5 linked regions of the Callithrix jacchus genome follow. The protein of the gene in region 1 interacts with the protein of each later gene in a biochemical or structural test. Links are inferred from orthologs where the notes say so. Each region holds a gene or a part of one and is shown in the gene's direction. Other genes may lie near its edges. The genes, in order: EIF2AK2, CDC42, PRKRA, EIF2A and TARBP2.

Evidence for each region.
Region 2: the proteins of EIF2AK2 (region 1) and CDC42 form a complex in vitro, tested with the Homo sapiens proteins (2 studies listed by BioGRID and IntAct). The link is inferred for Callithrix jacchus from reciprocal best matches to the Homo sapiens genes EIF2AK2 and CDC42.
Region 3: the proteins of EIF2AK2 (region 1) and PRKRA form a complex in vitro, tested with the Homo sapiens proteins (3 studies listed by BioGRID and IntAct, with this or other methods). The link is inferred for Callithrix jacchus from reciprocal best matches to the Homo sapiens genes EIF2AK2 and PRKRA.
Region 4: of the proteins of EIF2AK2 (region 1) and EIF2A, one has a biochemical effect on the other in vitro, tested with the Homo sapiens proteins (4 studies listed by BioGRID, with this or other methods). The link is inferred for Callithrix jacchus from reciprocal best matches to the Homo sapiens genes EIF2AK2 and EIF2A.
Region 5: the proteins of EIF2AK2 (region 1) and TARBP2 form a complex in vitro, tested with the Homo sapiens proteins (2 studies listed by BioGRID, with this or other methods). The link is inferred for Callithrix jacchus from reciprocal best matches to the Homo sapiens genes EIF2AK2 and TARBP2.

The regions. Positions count from the first base shown.
Region 1 is NC_133515.1:77,865,833-77,871,239, forward strand, and holds part of EIF2AK2 (interferon-induced, double-stranded RNA-activated protein kinase), read left to right. Parts: intron 1-4,521; coding exon 4,522-4,650; intron 4,651-5,407.
Region 2 is NC_133508.1:58,816,056-58,822,098, forward strand, and holds the start of CDC42 (cell division control protein 42 homolog), read left to right. Parts: upstream 1-2,572; 5' UTR 2,573-2,623; intron 2,624-6,043. UniProt on the Homo sapiens protein: Plasma membrane-associated small GTPase which cycles between an active GTP-bound and an inactive GDP-bound state. In active state binds to a variety of effector proteins to regulate cellular responses. Involved in epithelial cell polarization processes.
Region 3 is NC_133507.1:49,634,081-49,640,287, reverse strand, and holds the start of PRKRA (interferon-inducible double-stranded RNA-dependent protein kinase activator A), read left to right. Parts: upstream 1-2,288; coding exon 2,289-2,353; exon of another isoform or gene 2,354-2,391; intron 2,392-2,905; coding exon 2,906-3,075; intron 3,076-6,207. Other genes in the region: PJVK (pejvakin), read right to left, coding at 1,930-2,290. UniProt on the Homo sapiens protein: Activates EIF2AK2/PKR in the absence of double-stranded RNA (dsRNA), leading to phosphorylation of EIF2S1/EFI2-alpha and inhibition of translation and induction of apoptosis.
Region 4 is NC_133518.1:34,658,336-34,663,742, reverse strand, and holds part of EIF2A (eukaryotic translation initiation factor 2A), read left to right. Parts: intron 1-3,203; coding exon 3,204-3,332; intron 3,333-4,450; coding exon 4,451-4,516; intron 4,517-5,116; coding exon 5,117-5,182; 3' UTR 5,183-5,407. UniProt on the Homo sapiens protein: Functions in the early steps of protein synthesis of a small number of specific mRNAs. Acts by directing the binding of methionyl-tRNAi to 40S ribosomal subunits.
Region 5 is NC_133510.1:66,045,157-66,051,178, reverse strand, and holds the start of TARBP2 (RISC-loading complex subunit TARBP2), read left to right. Parts: upstream 1-2,045; 5' UTR 2,046-2,176; coding exon 2,177-2,229; intron 2,230-2,353; exon of another isoform or gene 2,354-2,476; intron 2,477-2,783; coding exon 2,784-2,953; intron 2,954-3,752; coding exon 3,753-3,855; intron 3,856-4,261; coding exon 4,262-4,353; intron 4,354-4,433; coding exon of another isoform or gene 4,434-4,450; coding exon 4,451-4,529; intron 4,530-5,120; coding exon 5,121-5,193; intron 5,194-5,427; coding exon 5,428-5,545; intron 5,546-5,853; coding exon 5,854-5,981; intron 5,982-6,022. UniProt on the Homo sapiens protein: Required for formation of the RNA induced silencing complex (RISC). Component of the RISC loading complex (RLC), also known as the micro-RNA (miRNA) loading complex (miRLC), which is composed of DICER1, AGO2 and TARBP2.

The DNA.
Region 1 (5,407 bases):
GTGACTTACCTACACCTGTCACAAGCTGGCCATCCTAAATCCTGTCCCTGGGCCTTTGCTCATGTTCACTCTCATGGGACATTCTTCTACCTGTCCCCTTTGGTTGTAATTTCTTTCTGGAGCCTTTTCTGGTCAGTCTGGAACTGCCTTTTTCTATTCTAGGCAGAAGTACCTCATTTAGGTGGCTATCTGTTTACCCCACTCCTCTAAAACAGCCAGGAATAAGGAAGGAAACAAAAAATTCCTTGAGAGAAATAAGTGCCCATATATACAGTTGTTTATTGGCTCAGATATGAATGAGTAGCACTTAAAAGGTATTGCTTCTGTGGTCTGCTCAGAGGCTGGCTGCCTGATGTGTTGGTGTTTTGAGTCTGCCTGGTTCCAATATGTCTCTTCTACAATATCTGAAGGTGTTATTTGAAGTTGCAATATCGTCAAGACTATTTCAAAAGGATAATTGTAGAGTGGTTATACTTTCACTTTGGGATAAATCACACATATAGGTAAATAACAAAATAAGCACAATTATTTCTATATATAATGATTTGCAAATAAATGCAGAAGTGTAGGCATCAAGTTCCTAATCTTCAGAATGAATTAGCAAAATTCTGACTGGTGCCTATCCACTTATTTACCAATTGTACCCCGCACTGTGTACTCTGTGTCATAGACTGGTCTTTCCTTGCATCTATTTGCAGAGAATTTTTGCTCTGGCTACGGTTGCTCAAGGGTCAGACTTAATTATTTTTAAATTAAAACAAATTTTTTGAGACAAGATCTTGCTCTTTTGCCCAGGCTAGAGTGCAGTGGTATGATCATGGTTCATTACGGCCTTGATCTCCTGGGCTCAAGCAGTCCCCCGACCTTAGCCTCCTGAATAGCTAGGACCACAGGTGTACACCAGCACACCTGGGTAATTTTTTGGTTTTTTGTAGAGACAGGGTCTAACCATGTTGCCGAGGCTGGTCTCAAACTCCTAGACTCAAAACAATCCTCCTACCTCAGCCTCCCACAGTGCTGGCATTCCAGGTGTGTTCCACTCCACTTGGCCTCAAGCTTTGATAGTGAGACTTCTTTCATCTTCTGTCACTTTTCTAGCTCTCACTACTACAGCTGTTGATTTCTCTCTTCTAAGAAAAGATTCAGTGAAGGTGTACACTTTTGGGGTTATGCTTTGCAAAATAGCAGGTGTAGGTGGTTTTGCCAGAGAATGGTCTTTACCCAATCCAGTCCCTCTTATAAAAGTCTCCAAATGTTTACCACTTTCTGTTGGAATCTTAGAAACTAGACCAAAGGTGCTGGGAGGGGACATAGGGGTTTCTGGAGTGAGGGCGTTTGTCCGAGGCTGCTTCTCTCTAAAATGTTCAGTCTCCTAAAGCCCCGGCTCTTTGGCTGTCCTTGGCCTGAGCATCAGCCCTGTTCCTGTGCCTCCTATGTGAAGTTTCACGCCTTTTTTATGCTCTACGACCCTATATTTTATCTAGTCATACTATAGCTGATTAGACAAAATGTGGCATTATTGTTTTTATTTCTTTTTTTTTTTTTTTTTTTTGAGACAAGTTCTCACTCTACTGTCCAGGCTGGAATGCAGTGGCATGATCTCAGCTCACTGCAGCCTCAACCTCCTGGGCTCAAGTGATCCTCCCACCTCAGCCCCCAAAGTAACTGGGACTGTAGGCACAGGCCACCAAGCCAGGCCAATTTTTGATATTTTGTAGAGACAGTACTTCACCATGTTGCCCAGGCTGGTCTCAAACACCTGAGCTCAAGTGATCTTCCAACCTTGGCCTTCCAAAGTTTGGGATTACAGGCATGAGCTTCTGTGTCCAGCCTCTTATTCTTTTATTTTCTTTCTTTCTTCCTTTCCTTCTTTCTTTCTTTCTTTCTTTCTTTCTTTCTTTCTTTCTTTCTTTCTTTCTTTCTTTCTTTTCTTTCTTTTCTTTCTTTCTTTCTTTCTTTTCTTTTCTTTTTTTTTTTTTTTTCATGAGACACAGTCTCACTCTGTCGCCCAGGCTGGAGTGCAGTGGAGCAATCTCGACTCACTGCAACCTCTGTCTCTTGAGTTCAAGCAATTCTCCTGCCTCAGCCTCCTGAGTAGCTGGGACTACAGGCACCTGCCACCATGCCCAGCTAATTTTTTGTATTTTTGGTAGAGACCATGTTGGCAAGGTTGGTCTTGAACTCCTGGGCTCAGTCTGCCCACTTCAGCCTCCCAAAGAGCTGGGATTACCATGCCTGGCCCACTTTTTCCTTTTAACAAACTATAAAAAGTGATCTGATATTTTTACTACAGAGTCTCATCCAGCTTGGATATTTACAGTTTCTTAGAGTCAGGCGAGATAGCCTTATATGGGACCAGCAGTTTCACTTGCAATCCCAACATATTCCTACCTGTAACTTGAGCATAGCATAGGAATCTTTTCTCTCCACATCCACCCCACGTCTGTCTTCAGTCTTCCGTCTGTATTATTAGTGTTAGGCTCCAATCTGTTAATTGAATTCTACCCATTTTTATTAATACCCATTTTTAGAATGAAGCAATATTCCTGTTCTCTCTCCCTCTTTTTCTTCCTCTTTCTTCCTCTCCTTCTCTCCTTTTTTTACTTTTCAACATCCTAGTTCCTCACCTCTACTCAATACATTCCTCTGAACACCTGATTCCTTGTGATTCTCTGAAACCTCCAATCCATAAAAGAAAAAAAAAATGAATTCTAATCCAACTGCTAATTTCTGCATGGCCGTCATCTCAGGCTGGCTTCTTGGAAGCTCCTCCTTCAGCCTTTCCTGGGCCAATAGTCTCTTCCCTCTCAGGTTCTTTACTAGGTAGGCCCTCTCATAAGTGTGTTATCCCACAGTCTGTTTGTATATAGCCTAAGATTGTACTAAAAGTCCAGCCTTTTCAAAAATGGCAAAATACTAGTTTTCTCATCAACTACGTTTCTGTTTTTATGGTCTTTAGAATGTTGGTCACTATGGCTTCAGCTTGGTGGCCTGTGGTCCCAGCTACTTGGGAGGCTTTGGTGGGAGGATCACTTGAGCTGAAAAGGTCAAGGCTTCAGTGAGCCATGATCACACCACTACAATCCATCCTAGACAACAAAATGATACCCCATCTCAAAAACAAACAAACAGAATATTAGTCAATACCTCCTATGGGCTGGGCATGGTGGCTCATGCTTGTAATCCCAGCACTTTGGGAGGCCAAGGCAAGCAGATCACTTGAGGTCAGGAGTTTGAGACCAGCCTGACCAACATGGCAAAAACCCGTCTCTATTAAAAATACAAAAAGATTAGCCAGGTGTCGTGGCACACACCTGTAATCCCCCAGCTCCTTAGGAGGCTGAGGCAGGAGAATTGCTTGAACCCAGGAAGCAGAGGTTCTGGTGAGCCAAGATCACACCACTGCACTCCAGCCTGGGCGACAGAGCAAGACTCCGTCTCACAAAACAAAACAAACAAACAAAACACCTCCTATAAAGCTATGGAGTCAGAATGACCACTTCTATTCAGTTCTTCCTTTTTTTTAAAAAAAAAAAATCTGCTTAAAGAATTGCATGGATAAAAAATATTTCAGAGCTAGTTATCATCTTCCAATTAACTTGGTATCCTTTCAAGGTGGAAGGGATATGTTTAAGAAGTTGTCAGAGGCTTGGAGAAATTGACATAAAAAAGACCCCCAAGAGGCCAGGCATGATGGCTCACGCCTGTAATCCCAGCACTTTGGGAGGCCGAGGTGGGTGGATCACCTGAGGTCGGGAATTCGAGACCAGCCTAACCAACATGGAGAGAAATCCTGTCTCTACTAAAAATACAAAAGAATTAGCCAGGCATGGTGGTGCATGCCTGTAATCCCAGCTACTTGGAAGGCTGAGGCAAGAGAATCGCTTGAACCTGGGAGGCAGAGGTTGCGGTGGGTGAGCCGAGAACGCGCCATTGCACTCCAGCCTGGGCAACAAGAGCGAAACTCCGTCGCAAAAAAAAAAAAAAAGACCCCCAGGAGAAATTCTGCACAGGCTAATCAGCATTATTGTTGGGAAGGATCCATTTAGAGAATCTCAAGGTTGGAAGGGATCTTAAGGAGGTCCCTATCAGATAATGGACTCTTATTTACAACATTTCCTCAACTGGTTGTTCAGCCCTATCTTGGGATGGAGAACTAACTCCCATTCTTTGGACAACACTATTAGGATATTAGGATATTTTAAAGCAAATCTTTTGGTCATTTCCACCCTGTAGTCCTGGATCTGTTCCCTTGGACCGTGCAGAGTGGATCCACTTGGCATGTTACTGCTTTCCAGAGGGATAGCTGTGCCCCAAGCCACCTTTTCTGTGAGCTAAGAAATCCTCACTTCTTTCAGCTGGCATTTTAAAGACCAGTGATATTAAATTCCCTGATTTTGGCTCCCTGTGTAACGGTAAAGCTCTTATAAGTAATATAAAATGGCCATTGCTGTGTATGATTAAGACATGTGGTAATAGTATGTGAAGTCAGTACATGTAAGTTCAATTTTTTTTTCATAGCCAAGTAATATATTCTTAGTAGATACAAAACAAATAAAGATTGGAGACTTTGGACTTGTAACATCCTTGAAAAACGATGAAAAGCGAACAAGGAATACAGGAACTCTGCGATACATGAGCCCAGAACAGGTAAGGTTTCTTTCCTGTCTCTCTATATTTTACTTCTTTTATTTTTAAAATTATAAAAAGAGTAGACACTTCTTATACAATTAAAACAGTATAGAATTATATAGAATAAGAATCGAACATTCCCCTTAACATTCTTCTCCACCTGCATTCTTCTCATCAGTTTGTTCTTTTAGATAATTTTCTGTGAGTTATAAAAACATGCAAACCCAAATATACACCCAGACTTTTTTTTTACATAAACATATATGTGCATACATTTTTCAAGGACTTGATTATTTTTTTGTTTTGTGACTATATAGCATAATCTCTCCATATTAGTTCAACAAGAGCTGCCACATTCTTTTTTTTAACTATATTGTATTTCAAAATGTAGAGCTACCATTATTTAACTATTTTATCTTTATGTTTTATTTATTTAATCTTTAATTTTTTTATTTATTTAATCTTTTTCTGTTGTTGTTCTTACTTAATTTATTTTTTTATTTTTTTGAGACAGAGTCTCGCTCTGTCACCCAGGCTGGAGTGAAGAGGCTCATTGCAACCTCTGCTTCCCAGGTTCAAGGGATTCTCCTGCCTCAGCCTCCCAAATAGCTGGAATTACAGGCACCCACCACCATGCCTGGCTAATTTTTACATTTTTAGTAGAGACAGGGTTACACTATGTTGACCAGGCTGCTTATTTTGTTTTAGAGACAGGTTTTTCTGTTTCACCCAGGCTAGAGTGCAGTGGTGTGATCATTGCTCCCTGCAGTCTCAA
Region 2 (6,043 bases), on another chromosome or scaffold:
TTGAGCTCCTGGGCTCAAGTGATCCACTCACCTTGGCCTCTCAAAGTGCTGGGATTTCAGGTGTGAGCCACTGTGCCTAGCCTCACAATGTAGTTTTGAGAGAGAAAAGGTGGTTACAATCTTATTTTTGTCTAATAAATGTATGTATATAGAAAAAGTCTGGGAAGATGAACAATAAAATGTTAGCAGTTGGTATCATTAGAGGTAGGACTACAGCCGAAGCTCATCTTCTTCTTCTTTTTCCCTGAGATGGAGTTTCACTCTTGTTGCCCAGGCTGGAGTGCAATGCCATGATTTGGGCTCACTGCAACCTCCGCCTTCTGGGTTCAAGCGATTCTCTTGTCTCAGCCTCCTGAGTAGCTGGGATTACAGGTGCATGCCACCACGCCTGGCTAATTTTTTGTATTTTTTGTAGAAACGAGGTTTCATCATATTAGTCAGGCTGGCAGGCTGGTCTCAAACTCCTGATCTCAGGTGATCCACCTGCTTTGGCATCCCAAAGTGCTGGGATTTGGGATTACAGGTGTGAGCCACTGTGCCCGGACTTTTTTTTTTTTTTTTTTTTTGAGACAGTTTCACTCTTGTTGCCCAGGCTGGAGTGCAATGATGTGATCTTGGCTCATGCAACCTATGCTTCCTACGTTCAAGCAATTCTCCTTTAGCCTCTCAGGTAGGTTGGGATTACAGGTGCCCATCACCACATCCAGCTAATCTTTTTTTTTTTTTTTTAAGTAGAGACAGGGTTTCACTATGTTGGTCAGGATGGTCCCGATACATTTGTCTCTGCCTCCCAAAATGCTGGGATTACAGGTGTGAGCCACTGCACCTGGCCTGAAACCTTATCTTCTGATTTCTTTGTAAGAAACCTGCTTTGTAGCATGATACTGTCATAGTCAGCTAGATCCAACCTCCTGAGTGCAGGTCTCAGCTCTGCCACTGCTTGGCATGGTGGCTTTGGGCAAATCTTAACACCTCTGAGCTTCAGTTCATGCAACCATAAAGTAAGGGTAACAGTTCTTAACTCATAGGGTGGCTGTGGGTATTAAATTAGCTACTCCTACCCGCAAAGCTATTAGCCATACTGGCAGTAAATGCTAAAAGATGTAGTTCTTACTCTTGTGTAATGAAAAATTCCAAAAGAAAGTATGACTTTATATTAAGTCAAATATACTGGAATTAAGTGTCTTTGTTGGCCAAATAGCTGTGGCACTAATCAATAAATGAGCTGTTATTAAGACAAGCTATTTAAGCTATTTTTCTCTAACATAGGGAAACATCTCAAGAATAAGAGACGGAAGTTCTCTACTTTGCTGAAGCTTTCAGACTAGCAGAGAAAACAAATAATAAACAGATACTGCAAAGATAGGATGGTTGGAGAAGGCAGTGATATTTGAGGGTTGAGAGAGACAACCAAAAGTCAGGGGAAGAAGAGGGAGGCAGAGCAAAGAAAGTTCAAGGCCTTGGCTCACACCTTGTAAACCCAGCACTTTGGGAGGCTGAAGCTGGCTGATAACTTGCATCCAGGAGTCCGAGACCGGCCTGGGCAACCCAGCAAAACCGTGTCTCTACAAAAAAATAAAAAATTACCCAGGCACAGTGGTATGTGCCTGTGGTCCCAGCTACTCAGGAGGCAGAGGTGGGAGAATTGCCGGGAGGTCGCGGCTGCAGTGAGCTGAGATCATGCCACTACACTTCAGCCTGGGTGAAAGAGCAAGACTGTCTAAAACAAACAAACAAACAAAAATCAGCGGCTGTAGTTGGGGGAAAGATTGTAAGTCATGTGACCCATGTGGCTACGGCAAGGGACACTGGGGTGTAGGTAGAGTTAAGAAGAGCGGTATTCAGTTCTCACGTCACGTCGGACTGAATACAGGCCAGGGGGAATGAGAGGCTATCCATTCCTCTGATCTGGGGCAAGTCACCAGCCCTTTCAGAGAAGCCTCCTCTGAAAATAGGAGGATAATACCTTGCTTTACAAGGTTGCAGGGATCAAAATAACTGGCAGTGGGCTGGGCGCGGCGGCTCACGCCTGTAATCCTAGCACTCTGGGAGGCTGAGGCAGGTGGATCACTAGCTTGAAGTCAGGAGTTGAGACCAGCCTGGGCAAAATGGCAAAACTCCTTCTCTGCTAAAAATACAAAAATTAGCCTGGCGTGGTGGCAGGTACCAGTGATCTCAGCTACTTGGGAGGCTGAGGTAGGAGGACGCTTGAACCCAAGAGGTAGACGTTGTAGTGAGCTGAAATCGAGCCATTGCACTCCAGCCTGGGCAACAGAGTGAGACTGTGTCTCAGAAAAACAAACAAATAAGAAAGAAGTGGTAGTGGAAGCTCTTTGCAAACTACCATTACCAGTATTATTACAAACACAATCATTGGGAAAAGATGCAGAGTATAGCCCGGAACTCTAGCGGCGCCGACCCACACGTGCTCGACAGGCGGGCGGAGCCAGGGCAGTCCAGGCACCGCCTGGACCCGCCCCAGCCTCTTCCCCTTCCCTGTTCCTCCCACTTCCGCGGGCACCCGACTGTGCGTCTCCTGCGCGCTGACGTCAAGTGCGTGCCCCTGTCCGGCAGCCGAGGAGACCCCGCGCAGTGCTGCCAACGCCCCGGTGGAGAAGCTGAGGTGAGTGCGGGGCCCGAGGGTCCCCGCGGGAGCGGCTCCCCCACCTTCCCGTCCCCGCTGTCCCTGTCCTCTCCCAGTTTTCGGGGACACCTGGTCTGCGAAATCTCGGGACGCCTGGGAGCGCGGGTCGCGGGGAAGTGCCCGGCTCGAGCTGCGTCCTCCGGGCGGGCGGGAGTCCGCGTTCTGTGGGGGACCCGGGGCGGGGGTCGCGGCCGGGGAGGCGGTGGGCGCCCACCCGTGGTGGGGCGCGCGGCCGGGGCTCGGGGCGCGAGCGGGGCCGGGCTGTCACCGGCAGGGGCGGAAGGAAGGGGTCACACCCATCCCGGGCGCCCGGGCTCCCTTCCCCCCAGCCCGGCCCCGCGGGCTCCTGAGGGTGGCAGGGGCCCGGGTGCCGGGGGCCTCGGAGCGACTCGCGGGCGCCTGAGGCGGGCCGGGCGCCGGTCCCCGGTCCCCACAGGCTGGGTTTTGTGCCTTGCGCTCCAGCCCGACTTCCTGCTTCGCCGGGCGCAGCCGCGGACATTTTGCGGCACGGGGGGAGGGGAGCGGCGTTGCGGCCGCAGCGGGGCGGTGTCGGGAGGGCGGCTCGCGGGCTGCCCGCTGCGGTGCCTGTCGGCGCTCCCCTCCGCTCGGGTCGCGTCGTCCGGGCCGGGTGGCGCCGAGCCGCGAGCTGCTCTGTTCCTGCCTGAGGTCGAGTTCCTAGCATTTCCGTCCTCTTCTCCAGCCCGCTCCCTACCGATTCAGCTGAAGCTTCCCTTTCGGGGAGTTACTTAACCACCTCCCGAAACCGTCGTTCTGCTGCTTGCTTAATTCCTCTTACTGGGGGGAAATTTTCTTTGTTCGTTTGTTTTTCCTCCCCTTTAAGTCTTAAGAGAAATGCAGTGTGGAAGATTACGTCATCGCAGTATAAGAAGTGAGACTTAACTCCTACAAGTCAGGGACTTACAAATTGATACCGCATTTTGCAGCTTTAGTCGGTCACCCCTTGGCTTATTCTGCCTGCTTCCCAACGCATCGTAATCAGATGATGTTTTGAAACCTTGTTACTGTGGTCATGGTCGCCTTCAATGCACCTAAAAGCCAGGAAGTAAACCCCAGGATTAGCTTGTGTCAGGGAATAAAGTATAAGACAAGCTGCTTGCGTGGGCATTAACTTTAAATTGAGGTCCCTTTGACTATACTAGAATGAAGTGGTTTTATTTGTGGGAACACTTTTTCGGTCCAACATGACTTTCCCAGACTGTTTGGCTTCTTTATGACTTACTGCATGCCGAGAACCTCCCTAGTTGATTCAAGTGCACTTTTTGTGGTGCAGGTGTGTTGAAAAGAGGATCAGTTTCCGCCTGGTCTGTTAGACATTTTAGTTTTGTTATTAAAAACGAGACTTGGATTTTTAAGCAAAAAACTTAATGTTTTCATACTTTTGAGATCACAATTTTTTTTTTTTTTTTTTTGAGAAAAGGTCTCAAAGACGTTACTAAATACAATGGATATTGCACTTCCAGGCTAGAGTGCAGCCCACCTCAGTCTCCGCCTCTCGTGCTCTAGTGATCCTCCCACCTCAGCCTTTCGAGTAGCTGGTACTATAGGCATGTGCCACCACGCCCGGCTAATTGTGTGTGTGTGTTTTGCCATCTTGCCCAGGCTGGTCTGTAACTCCTAGGGTCAAGCAGAGATCATAATTTTTCTTTCCCTAAGCATTTATATCCTAAATTTTATATCCTTCCGCGATTACAATAGTAACACAGAAAAATGTTAACACTGTAAAGCAAATGAGATCCAATTGTGTAATGCATTGTTGTAAAGATAGTTCATGTCGAAACAAGTGCTTTCCCACTGTTTATCATTTCTATAGAGAGAACAGATTGTTAAACAAAAGGAGTGTTGGTTCAAGGCAGCTTTCTGTAGTGTGTAGGCATTACAGACCATGGGATAGGTGTGGAACTTGGATCTTCTGAAATACATTTGTTAGCCTTGATGTGATATTTTAGGAATATAACATTGGAACGCATCTACTACCTTATTTTCTTGAGCTTGCTATATTTTAGAATTTTAAATAATACCAATTTTTGTCTTTCCTTTTAGAAAATAACCTTGGTTTGGATGTATAGTTTGGATGTATAGTTTTTATACTGAGATGGAGATAAGAGACTGATAATCAACTGAATATTAAATGAGCTTGTTTTCAGTAATTTCTAAAAGACCCAAAAGGTATTACATCCTCTATTTTCCCTTAAAATGTTTTCAGATTACAACCAACACCTGTTCTTATTAAACTTAATTTTTTTGAGATTCTAAGGCAGATGCTATAGCCTAGAGTAGTATGGGGACCTAAATAACAAATTGGTTGAGTTTTTTGTTTTTTTTGTTTTTGTTTTTTTTTTCAAGATAGGGTTTACTCTGTTGTCCAGGCTGGAGTGCAATGGTGTGATCACAGCTCACTGCAACCTCGGCCTTCTAGGCTCAATCCTTTCACCTCAGCCTCTGCAGTAGCTGGGACTACTGCTGCATGCAACCAGGCCTGACTACTTCTTGTATTTTTTTTGTTGAGATAGTGTTTTGTCATATTGCCAGGCTGGTCTGGAATGCCTGTACTCAAGCTATCTGCTCCTGTTGGCCTCTGAAAGTGCTGGGATATAGGCATGAGCTGCTGTGCTGTGGACAGGCTTTCTTGGAAGTAAAAGACAAGTTGTACTTTTATTTATAGATATGTTTTAAATGCACTTCTCTATTTTAGTTTGTCTTTTTTTTTTTGAGAGGATGAGAAACACTTAATGAGCACCTTAGGCTGCAGGGCTTCCTTTGAAGGGGGGGAGAATGGGGTTAAATATTGTGTTAACATATTTTCCCTAAACCCTCTGTATTAAAGGGCTTGTATAACAATGCCTCATTCAGTATTCTCTTCCACATACATTTCTTCATTAGATTGTAAGTTCCATGAGGGCAGGGCATTGACCTGGCATGGTCACCCCATTGCTAATGCCTAGAATACTGTCAAACATATAGTAGGTTTTAAGAAGTATTTTTCAAATGAATGAATTTGGTGATGTCTGAGGGTTAACATTTTCCCTTTCTGCATATTCCATGGGCTTTTGTGCTGTGTTTCCTGAGACAACTTTTGTGCTTGGTCAGCCATATCTTTATTTGGGCTCATTGAAGTAGTGATTACTAATCTACTCTTGCTTGACTTTTTCCATCTGTTTAGTTCAGTATCTTCTGCAGCTGCACTGTCTGGAAAATTTACCATCACTTAGGAACTCTATGATGATTAGTTCTCTTATTCTCCTGAAAATTATTCACTTAATGTTTGTTTCCTTAACTTCCTCTATTTCTTTGTTTGCAAATAACTTATTTTTGCCACTTGTTCACTACCGTATCAGATTCCTGGTCACATTATTCTTTGTGTCTTACTGGTTTCTACTT
Region 3 (6,207 bases), on another chromosome or scaffold:
CAGCAAACATATTAATATCAAAACGTCATCAACTGCAACCCCCAGATAAATCCATTTTCAAAGAGGAAAATCAGGCACAAAATTAAGCATTGCTTGTTTTTAAATATAATTATACACCTTATAAATACAAAGCTTGGTTTCACCAAGTAGTTTACTACTGTATAATTCACTGCCTCCACTCATGTGCTCAGGTAATGAATTATAGATCAACGGTGTAAAATGATATGCTAAGAGCACGTTTAATTTGGAATGGCAGGCTATAGCACTAAAATATACAGAGAAAATTAATAACATAAAAATATGACTAAAGTCTATAAGGATCACAGTAAATAGTGATTTGCCACTGCAGTGGACCAATTTTAAGGGAAGCATATAGCCCTGTGGGAAGCAACGCGATTTAGGCACTAACGATAGTCCCGGATACCATCTACAGTGGACCTAGTCCAAAGGGAATCCCTTCACAAGTCCACCACTAGAATTTTGGCAACACAAAAGTGCTGATTTGAATCCTCACGGCATACAGTTCACTGAGCATTTCATTCACCTTCCATCTTACATGTTTATAAAACTATTTAATATTAAATATGAATTCAGACTATAGAGAAACAATTATATGCAGATCTTTATTTTAAAAACAAAGTCACATTACATATAAGTAACTATATAAACTATTACCTAGTGGTTTCTTATTCTGAAGTTTGGCACACAGACTCTGTTTCTTTGAAATGGAGTCCTGCTGTATCTTTTTATTTCACCATTATTATCCCAGTTACTCAACCTTTAACAAGAGCTATTTAAAGTTTTCGCCTGTTTTTAAGTGATTTTGTGACTAAAAATGAATTTTACCCAAGTGCTGAAATGTTTTGCCATAGGTGTTATGCATACGTTAATATATTTTGAAATGGTGACTGCGTAGCCCTTCCAATAAGATACTCATTAAAACAGTGACGGATAGTAATCTCTATTCATACTCTAATTAAAGCATCAAACGATATCATTTGATTAGATCCTGAACATCTTTCACTTGCTTTCAAACATCCAGGGCTCACATGCTAACAAAATAATAAATGACTTCTTTTTTTGAGACAGAGTCTTCCGCTGTTGCCCAGGCTGGAGTGCAGTGGTGCGATCTCCACTCATTGCAACATACGCCTCCCGGGTTTAAGCGATTCTCCTGCCTCAGACTCCCAAGTAACTGGGATTACAGGTGCACACCACCAGTCCCAACTAATTTTTGCACTTTTAGTAGAGACAGGGTTTCACCTGTTGGCCAGGCTGGTCTAGAACAAATGACCTCAAGCGATCCACCCGCCTAGGCCTCCCAAGTGCTGAGATTACAGGTGAGCCACCTCGCCCCGCCATAGATCACTTTTAATAACATCCTTTCGAATGGATAGCTTGTACAAAGCAATCGTCCAGAACAACGAGTAAGCACAGGGGGGCATTTCTGCAAATGTCTAGCAAGCCCCTGGAAAAGAGACACAACATCTAATGGCCCACCAAAGGTGCTGCATCCCAGGCAAACGCCATTACAACACAGGGCCAGAGAAAGGCCTTCGTTTATATGCACTGATCAGCGTTCCATCTCGCAGCGGAAGCCCAGAAGACAAAGGAGCCCGCCTGGCGGGAGAGGAAAGGTCTCTGGACGTCTCCGCGTGTTCCTAAACACAGGGCTCGGGGATCCGGAGAGCCCACCGCAGCCCCCTGGAGCAGATATATCCGGGGTCTCAAGCTTCGGGACCAGGCCCGGGGAGTCTCCTAGCAATTCTGCCTTCGTTATTTTGAAATCGTTTTCTTAAAGTGACCCAGTCCCCAATCCGTCCTTCCCACAAAGGCTTAACTTCAGGCCTCAAACACCCTAGACCCACGCCGGACAATTCCTCTCTCCGGGCAAGGCTTCCTGCTAAGGACAAAGAACTGAGGCCTTACTGCTGGCTGGCCGGCGCCGGCAGGGGCGGACGCAGAGAAGCCCCGGGAGCCTAAAGGCCGGAGCCCAGAGGGGCGGAGCCGGGCGGGGAGGGGACGGACCTTGGAGGGGACGGACCTTGGAGGGGACAGGGGCGGGTCTGGGCCGGGACCGAGGCTCGGAGCTGGACAGCGAGGGGGCGTAGCCGGAGCTACGGCACCAAGGCTCCGCCCCCGCCCCGCCCGCCCCCTCGCCGGAGGAACGCAGGCAGGAGCAGGGGGAGCTAGAGGAGGCGGCGGCGCTAGAACTCCTCCTGGGGACGGGGAGCAAGCACGTTGCTCGGCACCGCTCTTCTCCCGCCGCTGAGCCGTCCTTTCTCGCCATGTCCCAGAGCAGGCACCGCGCCGAGGCCCCGCCGCTGGAGCGCGAGGACAGCGGAACCTTCAGGTCAGCGTGCGGGTAGTCGAGGCCCCAGGGCCGGGAGCGTCGGGAGGCGGGGCCGGGGCGCGGGGAGCCGGCCCTCCAGCTGCATTCTGGGTAAAGCCCCTGCCCGGCAGCCCAACTTCCGAGGCTGCGGGCGCTCGGCCCCGCCCTCTCGGCGGCGCGGTTTGGGGTCCGCGGCCGAGACCCGCCCCTTTCTTGGCCCACGGCGGTGCGCGGGCTTGCGAAGGTGGTGCGCGGTCGCCGCGCCCGGGAAAGGCTTTTACGATTGGTCCTAAGGCTGCGGCGCTGCTGCCAGCCCTGTTCTGTTGAGAATCTCTTACCCGCATTCAAGTTATTTCTCTAAAGACCTCGCTCACCCCGCCTGCCCCAGCGGGGTGACTGCCGCAGCGGGGCCGGAAGACAGGTGCGCCCCAGCCTCGCCAGCTCTGGCCCTGGCCGCCGGGAAACTCCGCGCCTCCAGCGTCATCGTCGGTGGCGGTCAAAACTGGCCTCTGCACGCTTCTGCTTTAATCTCCAATTTGGCATGCAAAGCACACCTTTTTCTGGTTTTTGCAGTTTGGGGAAGATGATAACAGCTAAGCCAGGGAAAACACCGATTCAGGTATTACACGAATACGGCATGAAGACCAAGAACATCCCGGTTTATGAATGTGAAAGATCTGATGTGCAAATACACGTACCCACTTTCACCTTCAGAGTAACCGTTGGTGACATAACCTGCACAGGTCTGTATACACAGTTAACATGGATGACCGAGTGGGTTGGCATTCAAGATTTGGTGTTGCTTTTCAATTCAGAAAAGTGCTCTTTTTACCAGACAGCTCTAAGGAACAGGCTCTGAAACAGACTTCTCATCTCAGGTCGCTAGGACTTCCCATCCTCATCTAATTCTATTCCCAATTAATTTTCTCTTCCCCAGATACCAAAGAAGCTCAGAAACTAAAAAGTTACCCAGCCATCCTGCACAGCTCCTCTCATACCCTAGGATCCTTCTAGGGTTCCTCTAAGAATTAGAGAGAAGCAGGAAAGGTTCGGAGCAGCCATAGCTGGGCCAGTAGGTACTGTGAAGTTTCACAGATTATAGCAGATGCCAGCAGGCATGACCCCAGAATTTTCATTTGTACTTTAGGTCCATTGTACCAGTCTTGATTCTGTATCCAAGCAAAATGAGGAAGGGCAGAAAGAAGATCCTCATATATTATATTGTATAATAACTTCTAGTTTTTGAAACTGAACAGATATTTTGTATATTATCCACTTTTACACAAGAAGATACAGGTTCAGAGTGATTTTAAGTAACATGCCTATAGCAATGAAGTCACATAGCAATGAAGTTTCAAAGTTCATGCCTTCTTTTGGTCTGTGAGCTTGAGCAAATAACTGAAGTTGCTCATTTGTAAATGTGGACATTATTTTTCTTACGTATCTATTTAATTGCAAACACAAAACACTGGATGCTAAATTTAATTTGGAAGAATGCCAAAAAAAAAATTTAGTCGGAAGGCTCAAGTTCTACCATCTGGTAAATCTGAAGGCAGCATTTGTTTGTGTCCCTGGAAGTTTAGAGTCCTTTATTTTAATTGATGCCACTTTAAGAAAAGTTTAAAACTTTTTGTGTGAGGCAGTTACATTGTAGGTGCTGGCCGGAAGGGTCCCTATGGGAACCAGAGTCAACACTGCATTACTTCTTTAGCTAGTCTATTTCTGGATAAACGGGAAGAATTCAAGAAAAAGGAGGCTTTTTTCCCCTCAATGTGTTTTAGACCCCAGACTGACAGCCTATGGCAACTGTTTTGCTTATGCCCTCTTCTCACACTACCATGGCTTCCTGGGCAAGCTTATCTGCCTCCATTGCTTCCAATACTATCCAAAGGCTGATAATTCTGAAATATCTATCTTCATCCCAAGCCCAGTTACAGAACAGTGTATCTGTCTATGCTTGTCGAGCATCTTTGCTTGGATTACACAGAAGCCCCTCAAGCCTCTCATTGTCCCAAACTGAATTCATCTTTTCCCTCAAACCCATTCTCCCTGCATTTCCTTTCTCTGTAAAGTCTCCATAATCAACTAGTTCAGTAGAAATGTGGGTTTGTCTTCCTAACTACGTCCCATCTCTCTTTCTGTTGTCCAGTCTGTCATTAAACTCCATCTCCTAAATATCCATTGCATCTATCTGCTTCTCTCTTCTGGCCATTGCTACTGCCTAGGCCACTGTCATCTCTCACTTGGATTGTAGCTGCAGTCCTATAGCTGTACATTTATCTTCTAGTCTCGTGATGTCCTTTTGTCACATGAGAACCAGTATTCTTTTTTTTTTTTGAGACAAGTTGGTCTTGCTTTTTTTTTTCGAGACAAGGTCTTGCTCTGTCACCCAGGCTGGAGTACAGTGGCGTGAGCATAGCTCACTGCAGCCTCAGTGTCCTGGACTAGAGCAATCCTCCTGCCTCAGCCTCCTGAGTAGCTGGGACTACAGGTGCACATCACCATGCCCAGCTAATGTTTCTGATTTTTAGTAGAGACAAGGTCTCACTGCATTGCCAGGCTGGTCTTGAACTTTTGGCATCAAGCAATCTTCCCACCTCAGCCTCTATTAGTGTTGGGATTACAGGTGTGAGCCACCTCATCCAGCCCTAACAACCAGTGTACTTTCTAGCATTCAGATGTCTTCCTCATCTCAAAATCCATTCAGTGGTTTCCCCATAACCCTCTGGATAAATACATGTTGTTTGTTTGATTATTTGTTTGTTTGTTTCTCAGACAGAGTTTCACTTTTACACCCAGGCTGGAAAGAAGTGGCACAATCGTGGCTCACTGCAACCTGCATCTCCCGGGTTCAAGCGATTCTCCTACCTCAGCCTCCCGAGTAGCTGGGATTACAGGCGTGTGCCACCTTGCCTGGCTGATTTTTGTGTTTTTAGTAGAGATGGGGTTTTGCCATGTTGGCCAGGCTGGTCTCTAATTCTTGACCTCAGGCATTCCACCCACCTCGACCTCCCAAGGTGCTAGGATTACAGGTGTGAGCCACCGTGCCTGGCCTATTGCACATTTCTTAACATGACTTACAGCGTTGCTTCTTACACTTTAAAAAAGCTCTTACACTTTAGCCAAAGCCAACTAGTTGGGATTCTTGAGAACACTGTACTGTATGTTGCCTTTGAGCCTTTGCAGGTGCCCTTTCTCTACCTAGAATGCTCTTTCTAATACCCCATCTCTCTTCTCTTTATTAGCTGTTACTCATCATTTAGGTTTCCATTTAGTTATCTCTTTCTTCATGAAACCTTTCTGAATCCTGACCAAGAGTAAAAGAGCTGCTGCTTTTATGTACTCTGCTACAGCCTGCACTTAGGCTTGTTGTAAAATATCCCGTTCCATATTTCAGGTGCCTATTAACAGACAAAAATTACACACTAGGCTGTTAGCTCTTGAGGGCAGGGATACTGTCCCTAATACCTGTTAGCAGATAAATGTGTGGTTTGTGTATCTTCTCACATTTGAGGGCCATACTTGAAACTTATTCCATGAGGGTTTGAGAGTTTGAACTCAAAAGGAAAAAGATTGAATTTATGAATTTATCATTTGCCGTCGTGGTTGCTTACTGAAATTAGACCCCAGTCTTATCCCTAGTCTCAACATAACCACCCAAGCAGAAGATACAGATTGTCCAGAAGATACATAACAAGCTGTCACCTTATTTCATAAAACTCTTTCCTGTTGTACCCAACACATAATCGCAACGGCTCAGCCTAGCAGAGCAGTTTGATACGTTATAGGACAGACTGTCAGAATAAAATTATGCACACTTTGCTATCCAACAATTCGGCTGTAAATGGTTCCTTTAAAATAAACTTCTTGCTGCA
Region 4 (5,407 bases), on another chromosome or scaffold:
ACTTTACGGCTTCTCTTTGGTACATCCAAATTGCCAGCATCACTACTCTGTGCTTTGGGGACATTATTAAGTAAAATAAGTGTTTCTTGAACACAAGCACTGTTGAAACTATGATAGTCAATCTGATAACCAAGACGGCTACTAGTGAAAAATAGGTGGGGACTGAATACACTGTGGATACGCTGGATAAAAGAATGATTCTCGAGACAAAGTCTGGTCGCTCACGGAGCAGAAGATCCCCCAGTGGTGGAAACACACGGGTCGCCAGCGCGACTCTCGTGGTCGGCGCAGCGGTTCCGCCGAGGTCCGGCGCGGCAGCTCTCGGAGCAGAGTAAACAGACCGCTTCCCCTTCTGACTGAGGTTTGGAGCCCCGGGAAGGCAGAGTCGCCTACTACGGAAACAAGAAGGAAGCCCGACAGGAGAATCCTGGGCAGAAAATCACCATCAGTTTTAACGCCGCTGCTCTGGCCCTGGGAACTAACAACCTGGACGTCCACTCAAGAGACCTAATCTGAAAGTTGGTAATTTCAAAGATGAGAGGAGGATAAATTTACAATGACGGGAAGAAACCAGCGTAAAAAAGCTGAGAATACTCAAAGTCAGAACGCCTCTCCCTCTAAAGATGATCACAGTTCCACATCAACAATGGAACAAGGCTTGATGGAGAACGAGCGCCTCCTGATGACAGAATCACTCTTCAAGGAATGGATAATAACAAACTTCGGTGAGTTAAAAGAACATGTTGTAGCCCAATGTAAAGAAACTAGGAACTTTGAAAATAGGTTTGATGAAATCCTATTGAGAATAGACAACTTAGAGAGGAGTATGAGTGAATTAATGGAACTGAAGAATACAATACAGGAACTCCGAGAAGTATGCACAGGTTTAAACACTCGAATTGTTCAAGCAGAAGAAGGGATATCAGAGGTCAAAGTCCAACTTAATGAAATAAAACGTGAAGAAAAGATTAGAGAAAAAAGGATAAAAAGGAATGAGCAAAGTCTCCAAGAAATGTGGGACTATGTGAAAAGACCAAATTTACGTTTGATAGGTGTACCTGAATGCGACGGAGAGAATGAATCCAAGCTGGAAAATACCCTTCAGGATATTATTCAGGAAAATTTTCCTAAACTAGCAAAGCAGGTCAACATTCAACCCCAGGTAATACAGAGAACACCACAAAGATATTCCTCAAGAAGACCAACCCCAAGGCACATAATCGTTAGATTCACCAGGGTTGAAACGAAGGAGAGGATACTAAGGGCAGCCAGAAAGGTTGGATAACCCACAAAGGCAAGCCTGTCAGACTTACAGCAGATCTCTCAGCAGAAACTCTACAGGCCAGAAGAGAGTGGGGGCCAGTATTCAACATCCTCAAAGAACAGAACCTTCAGCCCAGAATTTCATATCCAGCCAAACTAAGCTTCACAACTGAAGGAAAAATAAAATCTTTTATGAACAAGCAAGAACTCAGAGATTTTATTACCACCAGGCCTGCTTTACAAGAGCTTCTGAAAGAAGCATTACACACAGAAAGAAACAACCAGTATTAGCCTTTCTAAAAATACACCAAAAAGTAAAGAGCACCAACATAAAGAAGAATTTACACCAACAAATGGATAAAACAGCCAGTCAACATCAAATGGCAGTAACCCTAAATTTAAATTGACTAAATTCCCAATCAAAAGACACAGCCAAAACCCAACGGCATGTTACATCCAGACCTGTTTCACATGCAAGGATACACAAAGACTCAAAGGGATGGAGAAAGATTTACCAACCAAATGGAGAGCAAAAATAAATAATAAATAAATAAAAAGCAGGAGTTGCAATTCTTGTATCGGATAAAATAGATTTTAAAGCAACAAAGATATAGTGGTAAAAGGATCAATGCAACAAGAGCTAACGATCCTAACACCCAGATAGGAGACTTAGATTCAATGAGACAGAAAATTAATAAGGATATCAAGGACTCGAACTCAGATCCAGAACAAGTAAACTTAATAAATATTTATAGAGCTCTCCACTTCAAGTACACAAAATATACATTCTTGTCAATACCACATCACACCTACCCATTAGTTTAAATAAAACATTGATTGGCCATTATTAATACCCAATTTTTTTCAAAATAAAGCAATATTTCCATTTACTCTCCCTCTTTCTCTTCCTCTTTCTTCCTCTCCTTTACTTATTTTTTTTTTTCTTTCCGTCCCTCAAAAGAAAAGAAATCAACTTGTAAACCTCTAGATCCAGGTCGGCAATGTCTCTTTCATTGCTTGATTTCCTTTCTTCCCTTCCCTCCCTCCCTCCCTCCCTCCCCGCTTCCTCCCTTCCTTCCTTCCTTCATCCCTTCCTTCCTCCCTACCGTCCTTCTTCCCTTCCTTCCTGCCTTCCTCCCCCCCCAAAAAAAAAAAAAAAAAAAAGAATGATTCTCACCCTTGGCAGGATGCTGAGAGATTTCATCACACAGCTTAAAACTTATGAATTGTATATTTCTGGCATTTTCCATGTAATATTTTTGGGCTGCAGTTAACCCTCGGTTACTGAAACCATAGAAAATGAAAGCGTGGTTAAGGGAGACTTCTGTACACAAAGGCCAAGGGCAAAAGTATACAGCACCTTAGCGAAAATAAAAGTGATTCAGAATCGGGGTCCTTCAGTGAGGAAGGACAAGAAAAGTTATCAGAGGTCTGATCATATTGGAAGCAACATAGCATCCCTTTAAGGGGAAAAAAGTTTTGTGGTTCTTTGTTGCATAATTGAATTGATCTGATTATAAATTAGTATCTGTAGGATTCTTATTCTTGTAGCATAATCCATTACATATACTTAATCATACATATTCTTCATAGTTTTGGAGAGAGCCTTGTGAGAGTGAAACTTTAAACACATTAAATAGAAAAGCCCTCTCATGTGTTCAAACCATCCATCTATCCATCTACTGGCACATCTCAGAATATCCAAAAGTTTGGAATGCTTGTTGGCTGTACAGAAACCTCCTAGTTTACTCTGATAAGGTCATTTTATTTCTAATATGGGAGTATGTAGCATACTTCATGAGACCTTTAATTCAGATTCTTTATATAAAATGTAGGTAAAATCACATAGTTTCTATATTTTATAGACCAAAGCTGTGATGGCTTAAATACTGTAACGTTTTTGGTTTTTAAAATTGAATTTTAAAAAATATTTCCTGTAGGAAGCAAGAAGTGACAAGAGTCCAGATTTGACACCTACTCCTGCCCCACAGAGCACGCCACGAAGCACTATCTCTCAGTCAATTTCTGGGGATCCTGAGATAGACAAAAAAATCAAGAACCTAAAGAAGGTGAGAAACTTAGATGAAAAACAGATGTGCAAATTGCAAGGCATAAATTAAAATTACATAAATAAGGTAGTACTTAGATGCCTAAAGACAGGAGCTAAGAAGTTTATATTAGCAGTTCTCATTGTTGCTTTCTCACTATAAAGTACTGTCACTTAGTAATGGTACCGATTTTAGTTTTGTCACAAATGTCTGAAGGCTCTTAGTAATTTACTGATTTTTGGAGTAATAAAAATCAGTATGCATTAGCAGAGAAATATACTGAAAACTTTTTTTTTCTTCTGAGATGGAGTCTCGCTCTGTCACCCAAGCTGGAGTTCAGTGGCACAACCTTGGCTCACTCCAACTTCCGCCTCCCAGGTTTAAGTGATTCTCCTGCCTCAGCCTCCTGAGTAGTTGGGACTACAGGCGTGTGTCACCACGCGTGGCTAATTTTTGTATTTTTAGTAGAGACAGGGTTTTACCATGTTGGCCCGGCTGGTCTCTAACTCCCGACCTCAGGTATCTACCTGCCTCAGCCTCCCAAAGTGCTGGGATTACAGGCATAATCAGTATTTCATTAGATACCTGTGAGATAAGTAGGACCAGATATTTATCCTAGTTTTGAAGATGAAGAGACGGAGACAAAAAGAGAAATGTATTGACTTGTGATATTGCAGCCCGTGTGCTGGGGTGGCCCTGGGGATAAAACAAGGTCTCTAGAGCCCTACACAGCTGCATTATGAGATTTCTCTTTCATTCATTTTTTTATTGGGTAGGACTTTGGACCAAAAATCTTTCAGAATGCTCTCACTAAGATTTCTCTCAAAGCCAGAAACATCACCCGTTCCAGTGGGGCATTGAAATGTGCCATTACTGATACATTTACATATACATATACATATATGAGAACATTAATTAAAAGCCTGAGAAAAATATTTTGCCAAATCTCATGTTTTTAACACTTACAATTTTGCATTTAACTTTAACTTTAAAAAATAGTTTTATCGTAGCATTTTAACAGACCATTTTTTATACAAATGTAAGATAATTAATCTCCTTATTTGAGTTTCACATTCTTAATAAGGAAATTTGCATCTGAAGTGACTTCCTTCCTCTTGACTCATATTTGATATTTGCAGAAACTGAAAGCAATTGAACAACTGAAAGAACAAGCAGCAACTGGAAAACAGCTAGAAAAAAATCAGGTACTTTCTGCATTTTCCATTTAGGCTTGTGACCACCACCCTTCCCCCATTTATTATAAACAAATATCTAGTCACGTAAATGAGCACATAGATTTTGAAAACTTACTTTGAAAACCATATGCCATATTCTATTTAATGTTTTTATTTTTAAATAGCTTTACTCTTAAACTTAAATAGAGGAGATATGGTATTGATCATGGGAATAAAAGAGTCCATGTTCTTAAGAGGCGTACTACGCTGTTACTGATGAAAATAATAGCAATTTGTTATATTAGACAAATAGAAGATTCTCTTCCTTTCCATATCTCAAGTTGTACTGCCCTGTTTACCTTTTCCCTACTCCTTTCCTCAACATTTTTAAACCCAAATATAGTATTGAAAATTTATTGGGCACAGAGGGATGCAATAAGACAGTGTCTGTTCTTTTTTACCCTTGATTCATACCAGATAACAAATTAGAATTTGTGTCTAACCAGCATTTTAAAATGTGTGTTTACTAGTGAACATGATAAATTGTCAGAAATATCCTATATCTGTATTATTTTTATTACATATCCAGTACTTGTTTCATAATAACTTCATTGTTTTAAATTTTTGTAGTTGGAGAAAATTCAAAAAGAAACAGCCCTTCTCCAGGAGCTGGAAGATTTGGAACTTGGTATTTAAAGATTCACAGAGAGCAAGTTGATGACCAGAAATCAGTGCAAACACATCTTCTGTTAAACCCATTGGTGTACACAGAATATTCCTGTGCCCACACTTAATGTTAGTCTCTAATTTTAACCATTTATCCAAGATTTTCCAACGTGTAAAATTATTTAATAGTCTATTAAATTGATATTTATATCTTATATCCTATATCATGTCAATATGTGATACAGAAAAGAGATA
Region 5 (6,022 bases), on another chromosome or scaffold:
CCGCGGCATCCCTCGGCTCCATTCCCTTCCTTCCCAGCCCCACAGGCGTCGGGTCCAGGTCCCCAGTCCCTCCATCTACACAGCTTCAGCATCCCCAAGCCACCACCCTGCACCAGGCCACATCTGCATACCGACCCTCCCTTCACGCCCGGATCCCAAGACCCGGACCCATCCCTGCCCCCCACCCCCCCACAACTCGGCCAGGATCTCACCTCGGGGGCTCCGCGGCCGCAGCACAAAAGGCGGCGCTGCTGCAGCTCAGCTCCGGATGCTGCTCCCGCCTCCTCCTCCTTCTCCTCCTCCTTCCCTCCTCCCCCCGCTGCCCTCCACCGGACCCGGGGCGCTGTCACAGGCGATGCTAGTGCGGAGTCCGGATGCACGGGTGTCAGCCCCAGCTTTCTGCCCCCACCTCCCGACCCCTAGCCTCGTCCCAGCTCGGCTTGAACTCCCGCTCCTTCCAGGGCCCCCGCCCCTGGCCCCCCGGGACGGACACGCCCTGAGCGGGGGATGCTGCGATGGAGCCGCCGGCCTCTTAAAGGAGCCTGCTGTTGCCATCCGGCGCGCTCCAGGCTCGTCCCTGGTCCGCCTGGGCCCCATGCCTCCCTACTGGCGGTGCCCTATGGAGGTCCCACCTCGGGCCTTAGGCTGATTTCGCAGGAACCCTCTATGACCCGTCCTATAGACTCCTTTCTACACCGGAGAGAGCAGCCCCTCACATGGGATCCCTAGCACCCTGGCATAGCTCCCCTATCATACAGATCTTGCCAGCTCTCCTTCCCTTGATTGTCACCGCTCACTCGAATTTAACCCACTTGGAATTCACTCAGCTCTAGGCCCCATCCTCCTCCACTGTTCCTGGATTATCATTCCAAGATTCCTCTGGATCTCCAACCCTACCCCGGCTCAGAGTAAGACATCTCTTTCTTGACCGGTTCTCAGAAGACTCATTAGAACCCTTTTCTTTCTTTCTTTCTTTTTTTTTAATGTGATCTCTCTCCAAGGTCACAAGATTTCCCTTAGCCCGGTGGTTGTGCGACTTTCGGGGAGAAGGCAATGGGGCTCTAGGACTAAGAAATGAGCATCTGCTCGTGTACACCCAGATCAGTTGATTAGTCTTAGGTGGCCAAAATTCACTCCTGCTCTCTTCAGCTGAAAGACCCAAGACTCACGGCAGAGGGGACGAGACCACCAGGTGCCTAGTCCTTCTAATCCTATCGTCCCACTATAACCTGATTTTCAGGACCCAGAGGTTTCCTGGCCAGTGTAAGGGAGGTTCACTAGAGCCGTTCTAAAAAGGCTTACAAAAGCAGCAAAACCTGAAGGGAGGTGAAGGACAACCTAGAAAAAGGAAACAAGTTCTGCGTTACGAAGGCCCAGCAGCCAGGGGCTTAAGCTGAGGGTTGAGGGGACTGTCTGAGATGGACATGGACCTGCACCAGCTCCAGCGCCCTGTGGAGGCAGAGATCGGTCCTCTCCGGTGTCTGGGTAAGACCCACCCTGACCGCAATAAGCCAGGATCCGAAGGCAGCCTCCCCGGACCAATCACAACCTTCCTTTGACAAGCAGGCGTGGTCAGGGGGGCTGACTTTTCCTTGTCCCCGCCCGTTTAGTCGAAATAACCAATCTCAGTGCGCCGAGAGGAAGTAAACGCAACGGGAGTAACCAATGACGCCGCTAAGCTTCTCGTGCGTGCTTGACCCTGCCCCTCCAGCTGCGACAAAGATGGCGCGCAGGCTCCTGGGTTCTGTAGTTTTCTTGGAATCCAAAAGGCCCCGTGCCCGAGTGAGTCCTTACCGCCCCTGGCTTCCACTCCGCTAGTACGCATGTCCACAGCCTCACTGCCCGGGAGACCCGGGGCGCGGAAGGAAGGAGGCGGGACAATATCACAAACAAAAAAATACGGCCTTCTCGGGAAGCGACGGCGAAGGGCCCGCCCCTCCCAGAAGGCGGCGCAGCCTGCCCAGGCCAGCCACGCGGAGGGTTGTGGGGCGGATAGCTCCCCTCCAGATGGAGGCTCATGAAGTAGGGTGGGCGGGGGACTCCATATCCCAGCGTGCCCCGCGGCGGGCCCTACCGGCCGCGACTCCGGGCTTGGCCCCGGCCCTAGCTCGTCTGCGGTGTATTGGGGCGCGTGGAGGCTGCAGTCACAGTGGCGCCCGCGGGGACGGAGGAGGGAATGAGTGAAGAGGAGCAAGGCTCCGGCACTACCACAGGCTGCGGGCTGCCTAGGTGAGCCGCCCCGTACCGATCCCTTCAGGGCGAAAAGCGTGGGGCTGTGCGGAGGGGGTAGCAGCGGGGCCCCAGCATGCACCTGGCCTGGGGGTTGTTCCCGGCAAGCACTGGGGCAGTGGGCAGTGGTTCCCGGCGTGCACCGGGGCAGTGGCTGCTGCCTCCAGCTCTAAATAGTTTGGGGTTGGCCCGGTTCCCAGACTGCACTGGAACACTGGGCTTTATGCCCCCACATTCAGTGCATTTGGTGGGTACTGGGTCCCTGGCTTGCAGTATGTCAGGGGGTATGCATTTTCAACCTGCACTGGGGCACAGAAACGTGCCTACCTTAACTGAGGCAGAAGCAGTGCATTCTTCCCCCCTTGCTTTGGGGTAGTGGACCCTACTTTTCCAGCCTGCACCTCCACTTGGAACCCAGTCAATAGATGCTAGACTGCTTGGGGTTCCCCTGGACCCTATGTCCCCCATAATGTGCCTAGGTCTCATATGGCAGTGCTTGGCCAGGTGGGTGCAGAGAGGGGAGGTGTGATGTCGGTCTGTGCCCCTTCCCCCAGTATAGAGCAAATGCTGGCCGCCAACCCAGGCAAGACCCCGATCAGCCTTCTGCAGGAGTATGGGACCAGAATAGGAAAGACGCCTGTGTACGACCTTCTCAAAGCCGAGGGCCAAGCCCACCAGCCTAATTTCACCTTCCGGGTCACCGTTGGCGACACCAGCTGCACTGGTGAGGAAGGCTTGGGCAGCCTGGCTGGGGTGCGCATTCATAGGTCCCCATGGCTTTGTTTCTTGGAGTCTCTGTCTTCACAGTCCTCTTCAAGGCCAGTGAGGGAAGGAGAGCTTTCAGGGGAAAAGCCACTGACTGGATTGGGAGAACAGGGTTGTCAGAAGGTGGGTAGGATGTGGGAGAGTTAGAGGAGCAAGCAGGACTGCCACAGTGATCTGGCGGATCCTCATCACCCTAGAGGAAAAGTAAGAGAAGATAACTGAAATCCCAGTGGAATATTTGGGGGAGTGAGTTCCTGGCGTGCTGGGCTCTGTTCCAGGTGCTTAACCAAATTCCCATTTAATTTTAAACTTCAGTCTAACCAGTGATGTAGGTGGCAGTATCCCCCCCACCCCGCCTGCCCAGGTTGAACATGAGGAAACAGTATTTGAGATAATAAATGGCTGGTGCACAGTCACGTGGGGCTTTTACTCCAGAGCCTACCCTCTCTTTTTCCAGCTATTTATTGAGGGAAAAGAAAGTGCTTTGCAAAGGAAATTAAGGCATTTGAGCTCAGCAGTCCACCTAAGGCTTTGAGTTCAGAAGTCCTGCTTGGCATGGCCTAATTCTGGAAGCTAATGGAAAGATAAGGGCTATTCCTTCCAGCAATTAGTGAAACACTTCCAGTCTTCAGCAGGAGGAGGTTGGTCAGAGGGGGCTTGATTGATTCCCTCTGGCTGTGAGAAGAGAGGCTGTGGGATGCTGGTTTCTCTCCTGTCCTTCCAGTGACCTCCAGTATTGCCCATGCCCCCTCTCTCAGGTCAGGGCCCCAGCAAGAAGGCAGCCAAGCACAAGGCAGCTGAGGTGGCCCTCAAACACCTCAAAGGGGGGAGCATGCTGGAGCCGGCCCTGGAGGACAGCAGGTGAGGGAGGAACCGAGGCATCCCAGAAGCCCTTCGAGGAACCCAGGCCCTGCACCACCTTTCTGCCCCCAGGCCTGGCCTGGTGACACTTAGCCACCCTGACCTGGCCTCTTCCTGAGAGTCCCTCTGGACCTGAACAGAGTCTTCCAGGGCCTCTGCTGCTATGAAGAATTCTTGGGGGGGGGGTTGGTTAGCCCCACAGAGGGGTTATGGCAGTAGTTTGGGGCCTGGGTTAGGGAGGGAGAGGGGTAGAGACTGAGACTAAAGGGAGTTGCTTCCCACCATGCCTCCTTGTTCTAGCAAGATGTCCTTCTTCCACACGCAGCTCGGCGTTTGTTACTACTTGGTTCTTGGGTACCAAGAGGCCCTCTTCTCTGAGACCCTCTTTTCTCGGTCTTTTTGCCAGTGTTTGGCAGCACAGGATCCCAGAAGGAAGCTGTTGGTTGAGGCTCCCTGATCCTTTGGCTCAATTTGGAAGTTCTCTTAGGGGATGGGCAGGTCAGGAAGACCTGGGTCCCCTACCCCTCTCTTCCCCCTATACATGGGTGTGAATCAAAGGCCCCCTTCCCCTCGGGAAGTTCTTATTCTCCCCTAGACTCTTCACTGCCTGAGGACGTTCCGGTTTTTACTGCTGCAGCAGCTGCTACCCCAGTTCCATCTGTTGTCCTAACCAGGTATCTTGTGTCCCCTGATTGCCTGAAGGGGGTGGAGGAAGGGATTCTGGTTTCTGGCTCCTTAGTCCTTGGACCCAGGCTGGTCAGGAATGAGGAAGTCTGAGAATAAACAGAATGGAATAGGTGGGAACCAGAACTTGAAGAAATCACACCTGCTGGTAAGCTCTTGGGACAGGAGGTCATTTGTGATTTTCAAATAGCCTTATGGATGATGTTCCACCATGTTTAAGGGGCTTGCAGCCCCATTTTCTTCTGGGTTTGACTGCATGTCAGTTCTGTGTTTGAGACCCATCAGGCACTTCTGGGACTGGAAGTACAGCCCTTCTCCCACTGTTCTGGCTTAGATGATAGCCGTGTTCCAGAATGGAAATGGGCTGGGGCCTGGAGAAGGCCTTCCTTGAGTGGGAGGGGGAAGGAAGCCGGCTAGAGCAGGAAGGAGCAGGCTGGATGTGTGGACAGACAGCTGCCTGCCTGGTGGGAATTGGGAGATGGTAGTCGGGAATCTAAAGTAGTGGTTAGGCTTGAAGCTCATGGGCAGGCTCAGATGGAACTATTCAGCTCAACTTTGGCCCTGTGCCCTTTTTCCTTCAGGAGCCCCCCCATGGAAATGCAGCCCCCTGTCTCCCCTCAGCAGTCTGAATGCAACCCTGTCGGTGCTCTACAGGTGTGCCCTATCCTCATTTCCTGTGCATGCCTGTCTTCCCTTGAGCCAGGGGCTATGAGGGAAGGTGGTATGTGGTTGGGGGCGGGGGCAGGGGCGGTTCCCGGTACTGAGGCCCTTTCCACCTACCTCTCTCCTTCCTCTCACCTAGAGTCTGAGGCTCCTGCTTGGGGACCCTCGTGGGTGTGAGAAACGTTTTTTCACCCAGCCTCATGCACCCTGTGTCTCCTTTCCAAGGAGCTGGTGGTGCAGAAAGGCTGGCGGTTGCCGGAGTACACAGTGACCCAGGAGTCGGGGCCAGCCCACCGGAAAGAATTCACCATGACCTGCCGAGTGGAGCGTTTCATTGAGATTGGTAACGGGTTCTCGAAGCTCCTCTCCCGCAGCACTCTGGCCCCAGCCCCAAAGCAGCTCCTAGCCTCACTCTGGTATAGCCCTTGCTCTCTTTGCTTCACAGTCCCTGGCTCAGCCCCTTCCTTCTAGTTTTTTGGCACCCTGTCTGTCCCCTTCTCTCTGGCCGACCAGGTTCTCAGGTGCCTGGGCAAGTCTTGAGTTCCCCTTTCCAGTTGACATTCTAGGGAGACCCTCAATCCAAGTATGACCTGGGTGGAAGCACTGGATCTGTGGGGAATCAGAACCCAGCAGCCCTCTCTTCACATGTAGGAAGTGGTACGTCCAAAAAATTGGCAAAGCGGAATGCGGCGGCCAAAATGCTGCTTCGAGTGCATACGGTGCCTCTGGATGCCCGGGATGGCAATGAGGTGGAGCCTGATGATGACCACTTCTCCATTGTGAGTGGCCCATCCTCCCTGCCAGGGCAGGGCTCTAGGGA